Linked DNA regions of Lonchura striata. The protein of the gene in region 2 purifies or fractionates together with the protein of the main gene of each other region. This does not show direct contact. Links are inferred from orthologs where the notes say so. Each region holds a gene or a part of one and is shown on either strand. Other genes may lie near its edges.

The links. Proteins that work in one complex are often made in the same cells at the same time.
Region 1: the proteins of SRF (region 2) and MYOCD purify together in Homo sapiens (affinity purification with western blotting; 3 studies listed by BioGRID and IntAct, with this or other methods). This does not show direct contact. The link is inferred for Lonchura striata from reciprocal best matches to the Homo sapiens genes SRF and MYOCD.
Region 3: the proteins of SRF (region 2) and MRTFA purify together in Homo sapiens (affinity purification with western blotting; 4 studies listed by BioGRID and IntAct, with this or other methods). This does not show direct contact. The link is inferred for Lonchura striata from reciprocal best matches to the Homo sapiens genes SRF and MRTFA.

Annotation. Positions count from the first base shown.
Region 1 is NC_134621.1:1,673,807-1,681,364, forward strand, and holds the start of MYOCD (myocardin), read left to right. Parts: upstream 1-3,928; coding exon 3,929-3,968; intron 3,969-7,558. UniProt on the Homo sapiens protein: Smooth muscle cells (SM) and cardiac muscle cells-specific transcriptional factor which uses the canonical single or multiple CArG boxes DNA sequence. Acts as a cofactor of serum response factor (SRF) with the potential to modulate SRF-target genes.
Region 2 is NC_134605.1:18,595,049-18,603,177, reverse strand, and holds the start of SRF (serum response factor), read left to right. Parts: upstream 1-4,955; coding exon 4,956-5,402; intron 5,403-6,723; coding exon 6,724-6,990; intron 6,991-8,129. UniProt on the Homo sapiens protein: SRF is a transcription factor that binds to the serum response element (SRE), a short sequence of dyad symmetry located 300 bp to the 5' of the site of transcription initiation of some genes (such as FOS).
Region 3 is NC_134607.1:24,737,608-24,745,565, reverse strand, and holds the start of MRTFA (myocardin-related transcription factor A), read left to right. Parts: upstream 1-4,328; 5' UTR 4,329-4,797; coding exon 4,798-4,924; intron 4,925-7,958. UniProt on the Homo sapiens protein: Transcription coactivator that associates with the serum response factor (SRF) transcription factor to control expression of genes regulating the cytoskeleton during development, morphogenesis and cell migration.

The DNA of each region.
Region 1 (7,558 bases), on a different chromosome or scaffold from region 2:
TAGTGGGAACATTTGGAATGGATGTCGTTTGCAAGTCCTGCTGCTCGTGCCAGTCCTGATTCCTCAGCCTGATTTAATGAGGGGTATTCTAAATAACGCCCCTTCTCCCTGCCTGGAGCTGCTAAAGGCACTGAGGCACAAAGTTGCATAACCCAGTGCTGCTGCTTGTGTGCATGCTTGAGAAGAAACAGCCACGGAAAAATCCTGTAACATTCCTGGGCTGGTCGGTCTCTTGGTATCAAAGCGTTTCCTGCTGGGCTTTCACCTCTGAATCCTAATCCAGCAGCTTTGGAAGAGTGGAGAGGGGTGGGCAGGGGCCCTGCGGAGCAGAAGACCCCTCTGAGAAGAGAGTGGGTAAAGGCTGAGTGCCACTGTGAGCCCAGAGGTGCAAGAGGTGCCTGCTTTAGTGTTCCTGCCCCGGGCTGAGCTGGGCTGTGCTGCTGGTTGCAGTCAGTGCAGATGTTGCTGCTCACCCAGCCCTGCTTCCTGGGAGCAGCCACAGCTCCCCGTGTTCCCTGGGACCCTCCTCTCACTCAGCATCCAAAGGCATCCCTGGAGGGGAACCCCCCAGAGCAGAACACATTCCCAGCCTAACCTATCCATTACTGCTGCCCTGTGAGCCCCCTGCCCCGCTACAGCTGGCTGGACCAGTTTGAGGGTAAAAACAAGTCATTTTGCTTTCTGGTGTGCTCCTCAATCCTCCGAGAGGCTGGCACTGAACTCAGAGCGTGCTGCAGATGGAAATCCTGCCAAGTGCTGGCTGACAGAGCTGACCCTGCCTGACAGGGCATCACCCCACAGCAGCTCCCACTGCTGCCAGCGCCTGTGAGGCAGCCCAGGGCACAGGGACCCCCCCACATCCCTGCTGCATTAAGGAGGTGTGAGAAAGGTTCACTCAGCGTGCCCAGCTCATGGGGATGTCTCTGAAGTGACACCTCTCCCCAGGCAGGCTCCTCGGAGAGCAGGGATGGCTGTTTATTGCCTCGTACCTCGACGTGACATTTGGACATTGCCCCAGAGCAGCACCTTGGCTCCATCCTATAGATTCACTTTATGACTCACCCTGCAACTTGATGCATTGTGTCCAGATAAAAGACACTTTATCCCTATGATAAAAACGGACAAAGATGATGTCAAAATAAAAGAATGTTTTCTCATCCGAATAAAAGTCAAAGCTGCCGTTCTTGGGGTTATTTTGCTTGAAAACCTCCAGAGAAAGCAAGACTTTGAGTTTTTACCATTTATAGTTAGTTGTAGAAAATTCAGCATGCAAAGTTTGCTATCTGCCTTCCTGCCCTGCTCTGGAGAGGAGCGTCCCTGTGCTGGTTACTGCTGGGGACGTGGGGGAAGGAAGGTGCCATCCTGGATGGACCCAAAGCCCAGGACACTGCTGGGCAGGGAGGGTGCTCTGGGTGCTCACAGCGTCCTGCCAGGACAGCTGTGCCAGTGTGGGCACCTGGGGGTTCATGTCACCAGTGAGGAGCTGTCCCTGCCCATGCCACCACCACCAGCCCGGGCATTCCCACAGCAGGATCGTGGCCAAGCACGAGGGCAGCGGTCTGAGGGACGGGGACGGCCCAAGCCCTGGGGGAGCTGTGTCTTCCTGGCCGTGCTTCACCGAGCAGGGCTTTAATTTTAGCAAACAATGCCAATTAGAGAGGGATTGTTCAATGGCTGCGTCTCAGTGGAGAGCAAGAGCTGCTGGCAGGGCTCTGAAGGAGCCCAGCTGGGGAGGGACCCTCCTGGGGCAGGGGGGGACAGCTGAGCTCTGCTCTGTGGCTGCTCCAGCTGCTGCTTGGAGGCACCACCGCTGCTCCTGCAGCTGCAGGGGCTCAGGCAGTGTCACTGCCATGTCCTGGGGCAGTCCTCTGCTGCTGGTTCACTCCCAGCTCTCCAGAGAGCCTCTGCCCCTGCCCAGCCACGGCTGCTGCAGCTGGGGAGGGTCCTGGGGTGGCCGAAGGGCCATGGAGGGGTGGCAGACCCCTGTGCTCTAGGGAGGGGGGCTGCAGCAGCAGGACCCACTGCAGGAGAAACAAGCACGGGTAGGAGTCGTGTAGAGGAGCATCCTTTGTCAAGTCTCATTTCAGAGGTGAACCAATCCCATTGTTTCAGTTAAATTGCTGCTATAAATGCAGTTAAAGCATTTTCTGGTGAAGGATCATGAATCACCCACACCATCAGACTGTGCCGAGGGAAAGTGCTCCATGGGAGCCTCAGGGTGAAATACCAATATTGGGGTACCCACAGCTTGTTGCCTTTGGTGTTTCTCTGGCTATAAAGTTCGACCCCTTCACCAAAATCGATAAATTTGTGACCTTCAGCCAAAATCCGTCATTCAGAGAGTGACAGCGTGGAGATAAAGGTGGTAGGACTGATGCTACTGAGGAGCCCTCAGAGAAGGTGAGGTTTTCTGAATGTGTCAGGACACTGGGCCCATCCTGAGGGCAAGCAGACCATCCCTCCTGCTGGCCAAAGGAATTTCAATCCCACTGCTCACTGTGCATGGTGATCCATGCCCAGCCTGCAGTTAATTTGCTAATTAAACCACTTGTAAAAAACTTGTAAAAAAGGTGAAGAGGCACCTCAAGAGGGAAAGGAACAGAATCACAGAGAGGCTGGGCTGCCTCCTTTTGGAAATGAAAGAGCCTGTTGGCAATGGCAGAGCTTCACATGCTGAGCTGGAATCACAACCCAGGGAAAAGGGGAACGGATTAAACAGAACGAGAAACGAGGGACTCTAAATGCTGTCTTCAACATTTCAGTAGAGGCCTCATAAATTTAGACAATTATGAGACGCACTTAGAGAAGCCCAAGACTATTCTGTTGGGGCAGGAGGGTGACTTTGCAAACAAAGAGTTTCCAAGGAGCTCTGGCGTGAGGACATCCCAGAGCAGCCTGACCTGGGTGACTCTTTAGTACTGGAAGGGGGAGGCTGGATGAATGGAGAGGGGTGGGAACACCACGTTCATTAACTCATGCAACACAGGACAAGACAAATGTTGCTTGGCTTCAGCCTCTCTCCTTTGTTGGATGCTCTGAACCCCGAGTGGCTGGTCCTGGAGTCCCTTCTGGGTGTTGAAGTGATGTGAGAGGAGGCCCTGGGCTGAGCCCCTCCAGGCAGCCGGGCTCGTGCTTTGGTGCTGGGATTTTCCACCACACTGCACAGGCCTTGCGCTGTTGTGCAGGAGCCTTTAAAGCAAAACCTAGAAGAAATACATTTCACCCTGTTCTGTGTGCTTTTCACCCCAGACTGCAGCAAAAAGAGCCTTTTCATTGTGTCAGAGTGCTGGTTTTCTGCTTCTTTTTTCTTCTGTTGAGATTGGGATTGAAGGTACTTGAGACGCTAGCTTGTGCTCAGACTCAGGTGTTTATTATTTCTTATCCATTATCTTATTATCTATTCTTATCTATTATTTCTTATCTATTGTTACAGTCTCACAGCAGTGAGTTTTGCACTATCTCACTAACAAAGCACAAAATGGCTAATTATCTCTTGTTATGAGGCCTTTTAAGGCTAAACCATCTAATTAAGAAATGACACCTAAATTATTTTCACTTTTAACCTAATAACTAATCATGCAAAGTCCACAATGAGGACTTTTCTGCCCAATCACAAAACACCACCCAAACGCATGAAGAAGATAGGAGAAGAAGGTGAAGAAGAAGGAAGAAAAGGGTGAAGAAGAAGATAGAAAAAGAAGGTGAAGAACAAGATAGAAGAAGAAGGTGAAGAACAAGATAGAAGGAGAAGGTGAAGAACAAGATAGAAGGAGAAGGTGAAGAAGAAGGACCAGCCTCTGCCCTAAAACCTCCATTTGCTTCATATTTATTTATATTCTGTATTCTGAGGGCGAGGCTCTGCACATCAGGGTGCTCAGGCTGGCATCATGGCAAGCTCTGGTTCAGGGGCACAGTGGGGTGGGTAGTCATGGGCAGCACCATCGCTCCCAGTGACCAGGAGCAGTGGGGTGAGTTGTGCCCTTTGTTGGGCACAACTGTGTCACCATGCCAGGAGGGACGGAGCAGGTGAAGTGGGCAGAGCTCCCAGGAGAGGGCTGGCAGGGCAGGGACTGCTCTCCCCAGGCTCCACACAGAGCCCCAGCCCGGCCCTGCAGCACTGGAAGCACCCACAGCATGCACAGCACAGAGCCCTGTGAGCGAGGATGGTTTTGCCTCCTCTGGGCTCTCACTGCTCTGGGCATCTCCTGTGCCAAGCACAGACACTGCCCTGGCTGCCAGGGAGGAGCTCAGCTCTGGGATGCTCTGGATGTGTGTGAGGACCCATTCCCAGCCTCGCCGTGCGGTCAGAGAGGATAAAGAAAAAGAGGCTAAAGAAAATAAGAATGAAGTAAAAGCTCCCTGGGTGCTCCCTGGGAGGAGAACGTTTCCCTGCCTCCCTTCTGCAGGAAGGTGAATGAGCCAGCACAGCAGAGGCCATTCATAAAGTGGATGTGGGCCAGGGGGACCTCAGGAGGTCACGGTGCCCTGCCTCACCCCAGCCCAGGCTGGGCATGGTGGCAGGCACAGCCCCTTGGCCAGGACCTGCTGCGAGGGATGGGCTTTGTCTTGCTCACACCCCTGCTCCAAGAGCAAATCCAGAGGTATTTTATCCTCTGTACATTTGTTTAAGGAAGTTTAAAAGCAAATTTGGCCCCTGCCTTTGAATCCTCGCTCCTATAAATTCAAACACCTTGGACAGAGCATGTCTGTGCAGTCTTACATGTGACATTTAGCTAAAACCACTTACAAACAACTTGCATTACAAGTTTATTCGTTCCCCACAGAATGTTGGCTCCGCTGAGTGTCTCACGAGCCATCTGCTGTGGGCGAGCTGCTTATCTTTGCTATCAGAGCCCTCTTCTAAATATTATGACCAAACAGAATTCCAAGAACAACATCCATCCCGCTGCACTGCAAATGCGCAAAGCCGATAAACTGTTTATGTATTGCCAGCTAAAGAAGTTGGGTTTGTCTGGAAGGGTTTGCAGGAGAAAGTCTCTTGGGGTGCTCAGAAAGAATGTGTTTTACAGGTGGTGCTGTGACATGGGGAGGACATCGGGGCTGCCCTTGGTCTGCCAGCCCTGCCTGAGCTGGTGGCACAGGGTGACACAGGGATGGGGACCCACCAAAACCAACAGCTCCTCCCCAAAACTGGACCCAGAGCCTGATAAGCTGTGGTGCAGCAGTGCTTGAGCACCAGCTCCTTGCCCAAACCCAGGGCAGAGCCCCTTGCCCATCCCCAGCAGTGGGGGACGAGCTCCAGGCCTGATTCCTGGGATGTCAGAGACTGCCTGCTGCTTTGTGGCTCTCCTGCCCACTCCTGCAGCCCCAGGGCAGCCCTGGCCTGTCCTGCTGGATCTCCTCAGCTTGGCAGGGACAGACAGAGGAGCTGTGTAACCCCTGCCCGCGCCAGCAGCAGGGCCAGCTCACCCTGGCGCCTGGGCCAGCGCCCAGAGCCCTGACCCCTGTGCCCCAGTGTGAATGATCTAAAGGCTTGTGAAATGCACCCAAAGTGTCCCGGCCCTTCCCAGCCCAATTTGGGTATCCCAGGCCGTGTTTATTCTTCCACACTGGGCTCTGCTCGTTGCCTCTCGGTGTCAAGAAACCTCGGGCCAAGGCTGTGAGCAGAGGTCAGTGTGGGCTGACCCGGCCGCCCCAGCAGATGGAGAGGGTTTCTTTTCCCTGGGGGACTGAGATTTAGGGACATTTTGTCTGCTGGCTGCTGGCGGGATGCTGCTGGCCCCAGCTGCCCTCTCCCAGCCCAGCAGGGTGGGGCAGGGCCACCAGGGCTCCTGTGTCACCCCTGGGGCAGGGAGGGCCAGGCAGGGTCCATGGCACTGGGCAGCAGCAGATGGGCAAGTGGCTCTGCCCTGTGTTTGGGCAAGGAGCTGCTGTGGGCATGGTCTCCCAGAGCTCCAAAGAGCCACATATTGGGCATTTTTCTGCTACATCCTCTCCTCAGCCACGCTCACCACAGGCAATATTTGTTTTTCCATGACTTCTGTCCATCACAGAGGGGTTTTTGCAGCTCTGGATCTCTTGTCCTGGTGTCATTCCCCAGGCTCCTCAGCCCCTTCAGCTATACTATGTCCCTGCACAATGCAGGTGTCCCTCCTCCTCCAGCCTCTTCCTGCTCTGGCCTTGCCATGAAAAATTGACAGGTGAATTTTTAGGAACTGTGTGCAGTTTTAGGAGCGTGGGGAGTGAGGAGCTGTGGCTGGGGTGGGGAGCTGGTGGGCTCAGTAAAGCCCAGGGCGAGGGCAGCTCAGCCTGGCAGGAGGAGGAGGAGCAGGAGTGGGGAGCTGTGATTTTATCCGGGATCCTGAGGTGACTCTGGGGCAGAGCAGGGCTATCAATGTGTCTGTGAATGGGTCACTGCTCAGCCAGGGTGCCAGTGCTGCTCTGCTGCCCCACAAGTGAAATGTTCCTTTTGCTAATGCTTGCAGAGGGTCAAAACCCCTGGAGAGGTGAGGCAGGGCAGCTGTAGGGAGCCAAACTGGGTCCTGTGGCTCAGCCAGAGGATATTTATCATCCAGCAGCTGAAAATTGTCCTCCAGTGGATGCAGGGATGCAGGTGGTGCCAGCCAGATGGAACAAACCCCATCACACCAACCACAGGCTGGTGGAGTGTGTGGAGGGAGAGGTCCTGGCACTTGGTGGCACTTGTGACACTTGTAGGCAAAGCTTGTGCCCACGAGGTCTTGTTCCTGCCCAGGTGGAGGCAGCAGGGGCAGGCACAAATCCAGAATCCCCTGGAGATGCCACCAGCCTCCACCTCTGCACTGCTCAGCTCTGCCCAGGGCTGTGAGGATCCAAAGCAGAAAGATGGCACTGCCCCCTCTCACAGCTGTGAAAATGTAAATTAAAACTGGCTACAGCTCCAGGAGGCCTGTCAGGAAGTGATCCCAGGGTTCATCCTTCCTTTTTCTTCCATGCTTTCCTGCTTTGGCATACAAAAGTTCATTTTTGGAAGGAAATCTAAGGGAAGGGGAGACAGTAGCTGATTTTTGTTGTGCTGGTACCCAGCCATGAGGAGAAGGAGGACAGGGAGTGATGAGGCACAAAGCCAGTTGAGAGGAAAGCTGCACAAATGCCAGGTGTGCCAGGGCTGGGGAAGAGGAATGCTGTGGGGAACAGCATCTCTGCGAGCGCTGGGGTGGGGCTGAGCTCTGCTGGGCTGCCCAGGCCTCTCTGCCAGCACCGTCTCTTTTGGGGGCACTTTGGGCTCCTTGCTGCATTCTGCCACCCCTGAGGGAGGGCAGGTTCCCTCGGGTCACTTCTCAGTAGCTCTGCAGGGACACAACGTCCATCTGGAGCTTCCTGGAGGCAACCACGTATTTAACCCACCTGTTGCTGGGGCAGGCACTGACCCTGCCATGCCCAGACCCTCTGAACACCCTGCCCAGGGAGAGGCTGTCCTTTGCCAGGCTCCCTGCCACCAGGCTGGAGATGCTCCCCCAAGCAGACCTCCAGCACACCAAGGCACTCCTTGTCCTGGAGGTTCAGCCTGGCTCCGAGCCTCATCCTTCTGCATATCTTGTATATATGAAGCAACTCC
Region 2 (8,129 bases):
ACAGGATTAACATGAGCCAGGCCAGCATGGGTTTGTCCCTTGGAACCAGAGCACTGGGACCAGTTTCACTTAGCTGTACAGCCCTGTGTTGAGGGGTTATATAGATGGATCTGAGCTTTTGCAGGAGGCCTGATGGGAGGTAGAGGGCATAAGCTGCACAAGTGACATTCATTCTAGGTATTAAGGGAAATGCTTCCCCTCAAGGGTAATACAGGTATGAGTCCTAGAGAAGCTGTGGCATCTCCATCATCATCATCAGAAATACCCAGTCCTGGACCAGAGAAGTCCTGAACTACCCAGTGTAGTTTGCCTTGCTTCAATCAGGGATGGACCAGAAATGTCCAGGATCCTCTTCCCATCTCTCGTACCCGAAGAGGTTATGGAGATGCTGGAGGGGGAAAAGTGGTCATTTCTTGGAATATGCTAGCTGACTCTGAGCTCAGATTTGGTCTAGGCTTGGAAACTGGGTGCAGGTAACTTTGCTGGCAGTTGCTCTGCCAGTTATCAAAGGTGTTTGTCCTTTTTCCAACACTTGCAGGTGGGAGATATGGACTCTCCCCAAGCCAAGGTCTCTTGGCAAGCTCAGCTGTGGCAATGGCTGGCTGTTGTGCCCCACTCTAGAGGAGGACAACCAGGTCTGGTTCATTGGACCTGGTGCTCTCTGGTGTAATAGGCTTGGCAGCAGGTGACTGCCACCCTGACCCCTGGCTGCTTCCATGACCAGAGAGCCTGGCCACAGAGTGGGGCTGGTGGCACTGTGCATGCTCGACAGACCTGTTGGGGACAGAGGGATCAGGATGTGCCTTTCCTTCTCTGCCCCTTGCAGCCTCATGTCCCTCTTGTTGCTCTCCCAGTCCCTCCCAGTGTGTGTGCAACCCTTCTGAAGTGTGTGAATGTTGTGGCACTGCTGCTTACGTGCTCTCCAACTTGCAAGTGACCTGTCTTGTGAATTTGCTGTTGTTTGATGTCCTTTTGTTCCACTTCTCACATCCATTCCATTCCTGTGGACTTTCCTGCCTGCTGTCCTTCCTTCCAGGTAGGAACACTGCACTCTGTGGGCTGATTCCTGCAGCCAAGCCACTTGTGGTGGCCTAGCCAAGCAGAATCTCAGCTCTGCCGTGGCTAAAGACCAGAGATGCCAAGGATTTTGGGGATACCACCCTCGTTCTGCCAGCTCTATGCATGCAGGCATCTTGTGTGGTGGGAGGATATAGCATGGGTGCAGGGAACTGGTTCTGTGAGCAGCATCAGAATTAGGGGCTCCGCTTTATCCCAACACATCCTGGAAGCTCCATGGCCTGTTTGCCATGCAGTCAAGACCTGGTGACTACAGGGAAGCACCCAAATGGAAAGCCATCAAAGCTAGGATAAACTCCAGACCCAAAGAGTACAGAATGATGGGGTTTGGCATTGTGTATTTTTGGGAGTGATGTCATGAAAAAATTGGGGAGGGGAGAGATGTTGGCCAAAGTAATTGGAAACAGCAATCTGAGCAAATACAGTCCCAGCTAGAGGCGGTGGAGCAGAGCAGGGAATCAGAGCCACTGAAGGAGAATGAAAGCATGTAGGCAGTTGAGAAGAGGTGGGATCCAATTGCCTCAGCCCAAACTGAAGGAACATCTTACAGAAGACCATGTGTGGTATCCAGGGCCAGAAAGATGGCTCCATCAGAGCACAGGTCCACCTAGAGAGCCACCAGCTGTGACCAAAAAGGAACATTACAGAGCGGTGTAAGAGAACAGCAAGCAGATGAGTGTTAGTCCCAATGAAGAACTCCCTAAAGCACAAAGACATCCACCAGACATTTCTGGCAGTCCCTGATGTTTTCTCTTGCCCTGAAATTATCCAAATTCTCCCTGCACTGCTGCACCCTTTGAGCACCCCTGGTCTGTGAGTGCCATGCAGTTTGAGGAAGGGCTTTTTGGTTTGCTCTGATTTCCTCTGCTGCCCGTTGGGTCTTCTGCAGCTGTGTCAGGCACTTGTTTGGAAACTGTCTTAATTGTCCTGAGCAGCCTCACCTGGGACTTCCTCACACTCCTGAGCTGCATTTAAGCTCAAGCCTGTGTTTTCAGGTTTGTTTTAAGCAAGTTTGTAGGTGTTCGTGTTTTGGCCTTGCCTCTAGCCCTGTCTTGTAGGCATATGTGGTAGCTTTATTATCCAGTCAGGATTTTGGCTCTATCTCACAACCAAGTGGATGCTGGATTTAGTCCATGGTTTGCTCTGTGGATGGCTCCTGATACCAACACCTGTTGCTGCTCTGCTCATGTACTGTGGGTTTATACCTGTTCATGAGGACATGGAGTCACTCCTCAGGGAGCAGCCCCATTCTTACACCTGTGTGTTGAACAAAAAAAAAAATTAAAAATTAATAAAGGCTATTACCTAGTTTTGCATGTGCAACAGTACCTCTGTTCTAGTTGTTACTGCTCATAGAAGAGATCTGGCTGTTAAAAAAATGAGCAGCTAACTGTATTCAGCAGCAGTCAGAAAAAGCAGCTGGATATCAATAGCAGGAAGATCAGGAACAGGATGGAAACCATCACAACCCCAGCACCCAGCTGCAATATGGATGAAGAGCTGGAAAAGGGTGAAGAAGCACTTGTTGCAATGGCCTAGAGAAGGATTGAAAAGGGGAGGTAGAGGGTGGGTGTCATGCTGGCAGCAGGATCCATGCTCCCGTGGAGCTGTCAGGCAGCTTGTCTGGATGGAACTTTGGGGGAAATCAGGTAAGAGACTTTTAAGGTATCGTATCAAGTGCTGTGCCCTAAAGCTGCATAAGAACAGGGCTAGAAATGGGAATTTTATTATGTGGGGTTGTAAATGAGAAAATCCTTGAAGGCTGAAAACTTGCTTTAAGCTGCTTCCAGTTGTCAGTGGCTGCTGGTTTGGTTAAGGGAGGACCTGCTGGTAAACTTGTGTCCTGTGGATGATGGTGGCTTGGGGAAGGGCTTGGCTCTCCAGGGTGGGTCTGATAGCCTTGGTGAGAGATTGGCATCCTGGGAAGCTGGGGTAGGCTGAAGCTCTAGGCCTGTTCAGAGCACAAGGACAGACATCTTGGAAAGGATCCACAGGATGAGGCTTAGGAAGGAAAGGAGTAGAGCAGAAGGGATGAACCAGCCCACAATGACCCAGATCTCACCTTTTGCCTGTGTAGACATTTTTGCAACTTGGGAAGCAAAAGACCTTGCAATTGGAAGGCCCAGGGAAGAGGAGGAAAAGAGTGTGTAGCTGTTCCATGAACAAGAGAAAACCAAATCCTGCTACCTGCATTGACTGTCCTGCCTGTGGCTATCAGATCCATGTGCTCATTGTTCCCAGCCTAACTGGTGACCCCAGCCAGGCTGAGGGTCCTGCTGACCCTTTCTCAGCCTGGCAGGACATGGCGAGGCCTTGGTCTCACCTGTGCCAGGTGTAGCTTGTGCTCAGCTTGAAGGGAGGGTGGCCAGGGCATGTGATGGGAGGCATGTGAGCTCCAGCAGCCCTGCTGGAGCTATAAATGGCATGTGTGCTCACTGGAGGAGCATGGCTGGCGGGAGGAGGGGGAGGCGGTGGTGGCAGTGAGGGGGGTGTCTGGGTTTGCAGTTACTCCCTTGCTCTGTAGGAGGTTGGCCTGGGCTGTGGGGGACAGCTGTGAGGGCTGGTGCTGAGCGTGTGTGTCCTCTGAGTGGTGAGGCAGATATGGAAAGGGCTTGTGCGAGCTGCACAATTCTCCATGGGGTGCCCGGGAGACAAAATGGGTCTGTGGCAGGACTGCTGCTTCCAGAAGTGGGGTCTTGCCCTGGGTTGCAGTTCTTGTTTGCAGCACAGCGTGTGGGAGGACCCTTTTTCTCAACTAAGAATTCTCTGTTCTCACAGTTTGGAGCTCTGGGGCTGTGCTATTCCTCTCACAATTTTGCTGACCCGCACGCAGTGTGCCTTGCACACGGTTGTCCCTTTGCTCTGGAGGTGCTGGGTCACACCTGCACAGAGGATGTGACTTGTGCCAAAATGCTCAGAGCCATCTGATGTGCAGAGCCAGGATGGGCATGAGCCAGGGTGAGACCAGCCCCTTCCCGCCTGTACAGGTGCTCTGTCCCACCCGTGGATGGCGGTGGTACAGAACCCCAGCCTCGCCTCCTGCGGGCTTGAAGGTATCTGCGGCCCATCCTGTTAAACGGGAGATATTTTTTCTGCTAAGTAGTCATCAGCCCGTGCCTCAGCAATGCGTGTTTTGGACATATCTGCTTCAGTCCTGTGCCCTGCATGCCCCTGGGCACCCACGTGTCCCCCACACCCTCTCGGTGCCACTGCAGCCACCGGAGACAAATGGACGGCAAGTTTTCCCTTGCGGGCTGTGACAGCAGCCGGGGTGCGGAGTTGCCTGGAGCAACAGCTGGTGGCATCGCTGGCAGTCAGGCGCGGTGGCGCGGAGCCGCTCCTGGCTGGATCCTGAGGCTGGCGAGGCACGCAATCTTTGAGCCACGTGGTGTGTCCCCTGCGAGGACCCGCGTGCCCGGAGCTGGCGGTGGGAAGGGGCCCGAGGCAGGGCTGACAGCGGGATGTCCCAGCTCGCTCGCAGCCCGCGGTCTGTCCCGTCCCCGCCCCGCCGCAGCCCCGGCCCGAGCGCCGCGTTCCCCGGGCCGGCCGCGCGGTCCCTTTAAGAGCCGCCCTGCGTGTTCCAACCCGGGCGTGACGCGAGCGCGGTCCGACCGTATGCAAATCAAACGCCAACCGACGGCCAATGGGCTCCGGCGCTCGGCGGCCGCCAGCCAATGGGGTGACGCTTCCCGACGGGGCGCCGTCTCGCCCCATATAAGGAGCGCCTTCGCCATAAAAGGCAACATTGTATCGCTTTATATGGGGGCGGCGCGGCGCGGCGGGGGCGGCGGCGGAGCGGGGCCGTGAGCGCGGAGCGCGGCGGGGACATGGCGGGGCCGGCCTGACCCGGCCCGACCCGACCCGCGCTCGCCGCCGCGATGTTGCCGAGCCAGGCCGGGGCCGGGAACGGCGCCGCCGCCGCGCTGGCCCGCGGCTCGGGGCTGGGCCGGTCGCCGGTGCCGCGTGGGGCGAACGGCGGCGGGGCGGCGGCGGCGGGGGCGCCCGGGGGCTGCCTAAAGCGGGAGGCGCTGTACAGCGGCAGCGAGGGCGACTCGGAGTCGGCCGAGGAGGAGGAGCTGGGCGGCGAGCGGCGCGGCGTGAAGCGTGGCCTGGCCGAGGCGGCGGCGGCGGCAGCGGCGGCGGGGCCCGCGGCGGGAGCGGCGGCGGCGGCCGCCTACAGCGGCGGCGGGGGCGGCGGGGCCGTGAGCGGCGCCAAGCCCGGGAAGAAGACGCGGGGCCGGGTGAAGATCAAGATGGAGTTCATCGACAACAAGCTGCGGCGCTACACAACCTTCAGCAAGAGGAAAACCGGCATCATGAAGAAGGTGCGGCCCCGCGACTCCGGCCGGCGCGGGGGGGCGGCCCGGCCCGGCCCGGCCCGGCCCGGGCGGGGATGCTGGCCGGCACCCACCTGTCCGTGGGAGTCCCGGCCGGGTCCGAGCGCCGAGCAGGCCAGCGGGCTGTGCCCGGAAACGGCGGCGGCTTCCCCGCCCGCGGGACGGGGAGGCGGCTGGGCACCAGCCCCTTCCGGGGGGCTGCGCGGGAGCCCCCGGCGGAGCTGCGGGCAGGGAGCCGGGCGACCGGCAGCGGGAGCCCCCGGGGCCGGGGGATGTCTGTTTGCTTGGCGGTCCCCAGGCGTGTGATGTGTTCCGGGAGGCCCATCCCGGTGCAGCGTCCAGACTCGGGCTAGAGCTGACCGGTGCCCTCGGGGCTCCTCGCTGTGAGCCACCACCAAAACGCCGAATGTTTGGTGGCACAGCTGGACTGTCCTGCCCTGTCCCCGGCAGGACTGCCTGCTTCGGCCGGTCCAGAGTGCTATCCGTGGTTCCCGGTGTGCAAAGACAGATTAGAAACCTGGGGGATTTTGGGTGCTGCTGGCGGATTTGTATCCCTGGTGATGCTTATAGCATCTTTTGAACAACTGGGTAGTGCTGCATAGCAGCTCAGCTGGACATCATGCACTCTGGGAAGGTAGAAATGGGTGCGAGTTACTGCTGGGGCACATCCCGGAGGTACAGGACTACGGGATGTGGAATGAGGCCATCCTGTCTGTAGAAGCTTGTGTGAGACCATTGAGTGTGCAGTGATAGCATATGAAGAGTGTACCTCCTAGTCCACAGGTATTCACCTGGGGCATAGTGACCTTACTGCAGGGCTGTTTGGGTGCAGCTGTGCTCAGAGTTCTGGAGCCTGAGAGGAGAATCTGGGTCGGAGCCTGAATGGGGTGTTGGTGAGGGGAATGAGGTAGCAGAGACGTGTGCCAAGTAACATCACTGAGAGGTGAGGTGAGGGAGGCATCCAGACATGTCTGGAGAAGCTAGTGGGATTTCCAGAATGGAGACAATCCTGTGTTCCAGTGTTATCAGACTTCTGTACTGAGGGGAGCACTCTATCCATGGCGTCTGGGCAGGCACATCTCCTAGGGGTGTGCTAAAGGGGATGGGAGCACAGCACGGGGCAGTTCAGTCTGTAGGGAGCCAGTTGGTTTTAGAGGCCACAGTTCCTCTGGGGTGGCAGGGAGCTGAAGCTGGTGTGAAGAGAAAGAAAGCCATTGTGGGAACGTGGGGACATGCAGAGACTTTTGTTCTGCACTGTCTGTTGTCCCTGTCACCTGTGACTCCTTGTTCTTCCTTGTCCTGCTGGCAGGCCTATGAGCTCTCCACGCTAACTGGCACTCAAGTCCTGCTGTTGGTGGCCAGCGAGACGGGCCATGTGTACACGTTTGCCACACGAAAGCTGCAGCCCATGATCACCAGCGAGACGGGGAAGGCGTTGATCCAAACATGCCTCAATTCCCCGGACTCGCCCCCACGCTCGGACCCCACCACTGACCAGCGCATGAGTGCCACTGGTTTTGAGGAGACGGACCTCACCTACCAGGTGTCCGAGTCGGACAGCAGCGGGGAGACCAAGGTAATGTTCCTGGGCACTCAGGGAGGTGTGGGCTGTGCTGGGAGCCCTGATCATCCCCAGCCCTCTTTAAATAGCAGTGTTGGGCGCTGAGGATGAATCCCCTTTTGCTGCGACTGCAGCGAGCTTGTGTCATGTCATCTCTGTGCTGGCTGGCTCCGTGGCTGATAGCAGCAGTGATTGAAAGAGGGAGGGAAGTGCGTGGCAGGTATCCTGGTCCTGGCCCTTGCAGCATGGCTCCCCACTGGCCCAGCCCACCCCCCTGGCCAGCTTTCAGCACTGTTATCTCTCCCCAGGCGTCTCCTTGCTCTCACACTCATTGATAAAAATTTGATTCTGCCTCCATGGCCTTATAAGGCCTGGTTTCCCTCGCCAGAGTCCCTGGCAGGGCCCCTCACATTCCTTATAAGCTGCAGCTGTCTCTTGCTTTGGTGCTGTTTTGGAAGGGGGCAGGGAGGACATGGGGAATGGAAACATTTGGCTGGACAGACCATTTCTGCTCCCTGCCTGTTGTCCCTGCAGACGCTGGCCCCTGCCTGCCCGTGTTACTTGTGGCCTTTTGCCCAGGGTGGCCTGGCTGTGGGTGAACGGTTGGGCAGAGTCAGCTTTTCTGCTGGAAGGGCCCCTTCTTGTCTCTGCACTCCCTGTTGCTGTTCCTCAGAGCTGTGTCCCACATCCCTGCCACTTCCTTTGCAGGCCGATGCTCAGATCCATAGGTACTTGGAGATGGGAGGCAGGAAATTTTATGGTGCAAGACAGGTGGGATGGCATGCTGAATTTAGGGCTCTGCCACAGCTTCCCAGGCCTGTGTGCAGCTCTGCTGGGTGCTGGGAATTAGAACAGCCCTGCTGTACCTGTGCTGGTGTCATGGGTACTAGGCTTGCTGCAAAAGTGTTCTTCCATTGTCCTTGTCATAGGAGCCCTCCAGCTGTCCATGCTCAAGCCACAACATTGTTGCCGTGCAGTAGCCTCTAGATATTAAGCAGACAGAACCTGGAAACCTCTGCTGTAATTGCAAAGGTACTGAGTGCAGCCCTGAAATATGCCCAAAATGTCTGGGGCTGCTGGGGTATTTAGGTGCCTGTTTTTATGACAGCATAACAGCTCTGGTCATGGTGCTGCTGGGTACCCCCTGTTCCTTA
Region 3 (7,958 bases), on a different chromosome or scaffold from region 2:
AAAAAAAATTGGCTTTATTGTGGGGCACTTTGCTCCTCAGGTCTGCAGAGCCTGGGAGAGAGGCAGGGCTGAGTTACTCATTGTTAGCAAAGGGGGATGGGATTGCTGCTGCCTTTCCACACCTCACTTACCATGTTGACTTGCCTTGCTGGTTGGAAACTGCTTATCTATGGAGTTAATCAAATGCAGATCAGAGTTGCATTCCTTGGGCTCAACTGATTCTTCTTGGTCCTGTGTTTTGCAGATAGGGATCGAGGATTTCATGTGCTTTGTGTTTTCAGGGAAAGGCAAATTGACATCTTGGCTGAATCCCAAGGAATGGAGTGGGTGGCAGAGTTTATATATGGGCTGGGGGTTGATTTGGCTCTAGCTGCTGTGCAAAGTTCACTTTGACAGCTGAAAGATGCAGAGAGAAGCACTTTCAGAATTAGAGACAGTGAGGTAATGAGAAAGTGACATAGGAAAGGAAGTGGAGGGGGGGAGGTGGGGGGAAGGGAGGGCTCAAAACTGGCCTTGACATCATCTGATAGGTTTTCCACCCTGTGCAGCAGCTATTTTTATGCTTTCAACTCTCAGTAATTACAGCTCAATGACAGCCAACTTGCCAAAAGCAGGGGTGGTGGTATATCCCAGAGTGGGTTGGAGGACTGAAGAGCTGCTCAAAAGCTACAACAAAAGTCCAGGTTCCCAGGCATGATTCTGGCTGCTGTGACCTATTTTCACATCTGCATGGTGGTTTAGCTCTGGCTACCTGTCATGTCTAGGAGTTTTCTGAATGCTGAATGGCAGCACTGGCTGTCACCAGCTGATTGAAAATATAAGAGGAGGTAAATATCAGACTCTTCCTGAGAACTGGAGAAGCAAAAATGTACAGTGCTCCCAGCCTCGCTTTTCTTCCTCTTCCTAAAGGCCATTGTTGGTGGGGGGCATTGTTGGTGGATCCTGGGAATATCCACAGCGAACTCACATTACGTAGATGTGATCTCTAGCTGAGAAGTAAGCAACACAAGTGTCACTGTGCAGTCTGTATTTATTTTGAAATATAAAATGAATTGAGTTGTGAGACATTAAGGCTTCACAGTGATGTAGTGTAGCATTCTATTATTTTCCCAGCTTTTGTGTAATTGCTAGACATCTCAGACAGATCTTCAAATGTAGTGGTCTCGTACTTCTTTCTTAGGATTTATCTGGCTTAGACCTTGCCTGAGATCTCTCTCATGTTGTCTGAGTAAGTTTTTAGCAGTACATTGTTTATATTTAATCACTAAATTATGTGCATGCAGATCATTGGAGGCGTTGTGTCCTGTGAGAACATTGTTACTGGGGGAAAGAGGAGAACCTGCATTGAATTGCAGAGATGAACGGAGGTGAAAGGAGGAAGGTGGTGGTGGAGATTATGAACATATTTTCTATCTGCTTGATAATTTGAATTTAAAAATGCTTTTTTTTTTTTTTTTGGGGGGGGGGGGTAGAAACTAATGGTGGAGTTTTGTGTTACAGGTGAGTTCATCCAAGGTCTGCCCTCTATTAAAATTGATGTGGCCTCTCTCTCCCTTCCCTTGGCTTTTAAAGATAGAAAGAGACAAGAAATTAATTCATTAAAATTTGTGTGTATTTGAGGTACCACTACCTACTCACTACTTTGAGTGGTAGCAGTAGCTGTGTAAGCCTGTGTGCTCCTGATGCAGCATCTTGGGGAAGAATACATCCCCACATTCTGCATCTTATTTCACACTTGAAAGTTAGAGGATGTGCAGCTCTATTCATGTCTCATGCATAGATTATGAAAACTGGGCCTGATGTTTTTCAGATGAGAAATCTATGGCAAATACTTAGGTGCCCTTGGTAAAGGTGATTGTTTTGCCAATAGTACTTCTGCCAATTCTAGGGTAAAAGTTGTGCAAGACACTGAATGTTGAGTGTGCATTAGTGGGGTTGCTCCTACTTTTCTGGAGTAGTTAAGCAACTGAAACTTGTTGAAATCCTACCTCAGCTGTGAAATGGGTTTTCCAATCTACCCTGTTAATTTCCAGAGCAACTGTCAAAGTTACTTCTTACAGTGCATTGATATTTCTGTCCATGTGATTGCTGATCAGACTTTTGGATCTCTTACCAGTACATCAGGATCCAGTAAAGCAAATTAAACTTTTAAAACCTTTTTTTATGTTTATAAACCAGTAAAAATGGTATCAATGTCTCATATAACACAGGTTGCTCTTGGCTTTACTTATCTCTTAGATTCCACGTTTTGCAAGGAGAAAACCCAGAAGTGCTTGCTTGTGTGTTGAAGGTATCCTCTAAACTAAGCCCTTTGGAGTTTATCTTCTTACAGCATGGGGAACATTATCCATGTTCTCTTTGGAGTGCTGTGGCCCAGATAATTCGGATAATTACTTCTTCTTTTAGAACACTAAATAATGGTGTGGGAGAAATTTGATACTGTGAGACAAAATTTTAGAGTATCTTCCTCAGCAAATAAAAGATTTACCTAGCTACCATTGAGCCAGTCAAGTGTTCTTCTATCCAAGATGCTTTCTGCATAGGAAAAAGAAAGGTGTGTCTGTGTACATGTCTGCAGCTCTGCAGTAATACATTGAAAGGATCAGATCTTCATCAGTTCTTAAAGTTCTCTTCATCAGAACTTGGACAATGTCTTAGTGCTGTTTTGGCAATACCTGGGTATTGGCAGGTTTGCTGGATGAACAGCCAGCTCATGTTTCTCAGGTTTTGTATGCTGTAGTGACCTGCTAACTCAGAGGCCCTGGTTGGCAAAATTATAGTAGGTCCTCACCTCTGTAGCTGAATCTTGTAATTTTTACCATCTAAATGGTATAGTCTTGCCAGGAAAAGCAGAACTGGGTCTGGCACTGAGTAATTGTTCTTTAGTTATTGCAATTATTGGACCTCCCTGCTCAGAGTATCAGGCCTGACTCAATGTGTTTTGTGTTGCTGCTGAAAGGGGAGATCTGGACAATGTGTTTCTTTATCTTCTCCTTCATCCAGTCTTTAGAACTCTTGTGGTGTGCTGAGTCTCTTTCCCAAGGCAGGTCTCCACAGTGCTGTGGCTGCTAATGCTCACACAAAAACAGGCTCTTCTATTTATGCAGTAATTTGACCTTGCTGGCTGAAGTTCACTGGGAAGACTGAACCTTCACCTGACTTTTACAAATCCTAAAATTAAGATGACAATTTTTCTTGAGTATATGGTGGTAATTCAGGAGTATTGCAATTACAGAGCTTTATATTATCACCAAAGGTAATTTTTTTACTCACAGGAAGACTGGGGTTTGGATTCTTTCCTGGATGAAGGTTGAACATTTCAAAGTAAGAAAAGCACTGTTAAAAGTACTCAGAAATGTCACTGATGCCATCTAGCATTTGGTTGAACACTACTTTTCTTAGATATTAGTTTCATTATTAGAGAAGTTTTTTTTCCCTGACTGTAATTCCAGCCTTGCTTTAGAAAATGGCTTGAATGCCTCTAAAACTATTTGGAAATTAGAAAATTTTATCTTGATGGGAACAGAATATGAATTGGAAACTGTTCCTGTAGTGTTTAGAGTATTCATCTTTTAATTTTGCAATGTCCATGTGGTTATATATTTATATATTTTTTTTTTCTGGAAAGATAACAAGAATATTTTTTTTAGGTATGTGATCGTTGGATATCTCTTCTTTTTTTTTTTTTTTAAACTCCAGACTTCATAGTACTTCTTATGATTCATGCTTAGCAAAATTAAAAACCAACAAAGCTACCAGCTGTATTGGTGAGAGTACCTCCTGGTTGTTGTTCAGATGGAACATGTCTTCCCCTGGTGACTTCCAATTCCAGTACCATGCTGGGCAGTGTGTATAATCAAAATTTGTCAGCCATGTGGCATCTGTTTATGATACACATGAAATAAGCTAAAGTTGAGGTGGATGCCCCCATACAAAAACAGATTCTGAAGTTCTAGTGCCTGCAGTAGAGGTTTACTGACTTGGGGCTGCAGATTATCTTAAGGTAGGAGTTTCTGCTAGGTTGGGAGAATGGATTTAAGGGAAGAAGGGGTGAGAATATGTGCTTGCACAGAAGTAGCCTGCTCTTACCTGTGTGCGGTCTCAGGGCAAATGCATATGAAGACTCTATTTCTCGGATTATCAGTTTAGCTTTCTCCACAGCTAATACTCTTGTTTCTAAGGGTTTAAGGTAGAAGGGAGAAAAAGCATTTAGTTTCTGCCCTCAGAGCAGGGATATTCTCCTAGCTGTGTGCACAGCATGCTTACAGTCGGGAGATGCAGGGGGAGAGAGGGTTCTGCTCAATCACATGATATTGCCTGTCTGGCAGGTGTCTGCAGTGTGAGTAGAGGAACCAACTGTTCACTATTTTGGGTGAATGAGGTTGGTTGTTACTGCAAGTGGCCCCACAAAGAAGTCCACGCATCTGTTGATAAGCAGTGCTCTGCGTATTGCTGCCCAAATGCTTATAGCTGCTTGCTGAAACAGTGAAGTTTCTGTTTGAGCTTTGAGATCATAGGAAGAAAAATTTTGCCAAGAGCCTTGTTGGTTTTAATCTTTAGATGTTGGCTGTCAGGGTTTGTCTGTGCCTACAGAACCTCTCTGTTCTGATGCAAGCACAGCCTTGGAATCTAGCAGTAAATTGATTTTTTTTCTGCTCTACCGCTTGGTGCAGTGACCGAAACCTGGTAGAGAGGGATTGTAGTTGGGTCTCTTGTGAGGATCAAGCACCCCTTCCACTTGCCTGGACGCCTCCTGTGTTACAGAATCCGCCTTCAGGTCCAGGGATTTCCTCTAATATGTTGGATAAAGCCAAGACACTGCAGCCTGCCTATGTCGGGATTGTGCCGCTCGCAGAGACTGTGTCAAAGCAAGGGGAGAGCTGTTCAAGCACATATCAAGATCCATACCACAGCTTACGAGAAGGTCAGCAGGCTCTGCTCTCTTTGTTGTAGGCACTGTATAATTCATTTGTGGGGGTTTTATTTTGTTTTTTTTTTTTCTGTGTTGTTGTGGTTTTTTTTCCCTCTTGCATATTGAATCTGCCTGTTTTTGCTTTCTGGGCAATAGTCCAGAGTTTGGGTTTCCCACTGACTCCTGTGACCTCTTGTCCCTGAGGGCATTCAAGCACATCATTCGACAAGCCTGGAGCTCTGTATGAAGTGACTTGCAGTGCTGGGATCTTGAGACAATTACATTTAGAAATTTTGGGTTCAAACTTCCCTTACATCTGTAGGCCTGTTGTGAGCAACATTTTAAGGCTATTTCATTAAAGGTGTAAAGGATTGTTCTGGAGTGGCAACTGTGCCTTGAAGAAGATAAGAGTACCATGTTTTAAGTGTCTCTATGTTCTTCTTTTAAGACTGTTCAAGGAGTGTTGTGGATGTATCTAAATGTGATCTTGTCTTAGTTGATGGTATTCTGCAAATATGTGTGATTTTTTAACAAGGATTTAACAGTTCTGAAAAATTATGTAGACACAGAGAGGTCAGATTCCAGGGAGTCTAAAAGGAAAGAAGAGGATCTGGAGGGACTGAAAAAGATTGAGAAGATGAAAACAGGCAGTGATCCATTCATAGTGCACAGCATTATAAATATCAGCAAACAGGAACTGGGAAAAGATTACAGGGAAGAATGGCAGAACATCACAAAAAGCCAATGGCAAGCAGCAAGGTTTATGTTTTATCAGAAATACTGGATTTGTCAGCTACAAGTGAAATTTTAGTAGGAACTTGCAGAAGGAAACAATGATCTGGAGTACAGTGCCTCAGAATAAGGTGATGACTGATTTTAAGAGCGAGTAATGTCATCTGAAAGGAGGGGAAAATAACTTTCTGACATTTTGCACAGCAAAGCAAGATAAAGGAGGGGTAGGTGTTGAGGACAATAATCTAGATAGAATAAGACCATGTTTGTTGCATAAATATGGCCAGTGTGTGGAAGAAAATGTTAGCAGTTGCATTTAGAGTATTTTTCTCTGGTACGTAGTCTAGGCCTGCTGGGGCTGCCAGACAAAAGTGTTAGGTTTCTGCCCCCAATTGTCACTCCCCCTACCAAGCGTATTTAACATCTATCAAGAGCTACCTTATCGTTATTTTTTTAAAAATATTACTATTTTTGTTGCATGTTTTCATTGGAATATTCTTTGTTGAAATTATATGGAGAAGGAAAAGAAAACTGAACTCCTAGTCCTCAAATTCAAGTTCAGGAGTTATAAATCCATTAGTACAGGCAGTGTTCCCAGATTTCTTTATCTGCTTTGGGGACATAGAGCTGCAGCACATCAATCTTCAGAGGAAAAAAACAACCCAAAATTAAAAAAAAGCCAGAACTTGTGTCTGTCCTGTATTTGCAAGCATTGGTTTTCACAGAAGGTGAGCACTTTGCATTTGGATGTACCAGGATACATCTTTCATCCAATCACTAAATATGACAAGCTGTACAGTGGGATAACATGTACAACAAGGAAAAAGCAATTCTGTCTTACTTTAATCAATATAAAAAGGTTTGTTGCTGTCTCAAGTTGAATTGAATTAAGGCCATTGAAATCTGGTGTAATTCTGGTTATTGGAAAAGCTGTGTTGACTCTGCAAAGGCCAGCAATACCATCAGCCTACCCCATGGCTAATTTATGATGCTCTAATGTCACATGTGATAAGGAAAGCTGCTTTCCACCAGCTACCAAATGAAGGTTAGGAAAGAGAAATAGATGCTGCCAGCTTCTTTTCTGTCAGATGAAGAAAATAATAACACTTTAGGTTTGCTGCTGCTCCATTTAAGTCCCCTGCAGTTTTGGGATGCCTGTTGTATTTATTCTGTAGCATGCACTGATGCACTGTATTTTGCAGAGCCAGTTCTTACAGGCAGCAGAGGAACAGATGCATCCACGTGTAAACCCTTATGGAAGTCCAGAATTAGCACTGAGCTGAGACTGATGACTGTTGTGCCTTAGTTTTTGATCCCCCTAAAAATGGGACAGCTTAGTTTTGTTGCCACCAAGACAGAAAAATCATGCATTTTTCTTCCTGACTCTTAATAAAACTGGACGAATGAGGGCTTATACTAACGCTGACAATGCTCATCTATTCTCTTAATGATTCTCATGAGAAGCAGCTATCTGGAATAGACTACATATTGCTTCCTGATTTTTGGAAAACAGATGTCTCCTAAATCTGATTTCTTTCTTTTTTTTTTTTTTTTTTTTTTTTAATTAGGACTTGACATTGAGGTTTGGGATTTGGTGATCCTTTCTACACAGATACGGATTTGACATGCAGAAGTCAAAGAACTTAAGCTTCTATTATTCAAAATATGTGTTTAGGGCAGTTATTTGCAAAATTCCTAGAATTTAGGAATCCATAAACATGTTTTCTATTCAAGAATGCCTTGGAGTGATTTGGTTTTCAAATACTAGAGCCCAGTTTGCAGTTCCTACATCAGTTAACACAACAGTATGGTAGCCCCTCATGAGAGATATGAAGAGGGAATTGCAGAAAGCTACTCAAAACCCATTTAGCATTCACATGAGTTTAGTGCAGAATTAAGTACTATTAAGTACTTTCAAAACTGAATTGCAACTTTTCCACTCCTGTACTACATTTCTGTACATCTGTGCTATGCTTTTTTTTTTTTTTTTTTTTTTTTTTTTTTTTTTTTTTTTTGGCAATTCTTCCCTTCAAAAACATTCAGTGTGACTCGGGGCCTGACAGTGAAACTCACCTGTCTTTTTCCAAGATTTGTATCTCAGAGCCCAGACACAGAACAAGTTCCTGCATGCCATCTGATATGCACGAACTGTGTGCACATTCTTGGTCCACAGCAAATGGGAGGTAATTTGAGTTAGCTTAGCCTTTGATTAAACTATTAATATCTGTTCAGTACTTTGAAGAGATCAGGAGTCGTGCAAGTCCTTGTTAGCATTTAACTTTCTTCAGGAGTAATCTGGACCTTATTGTCATTA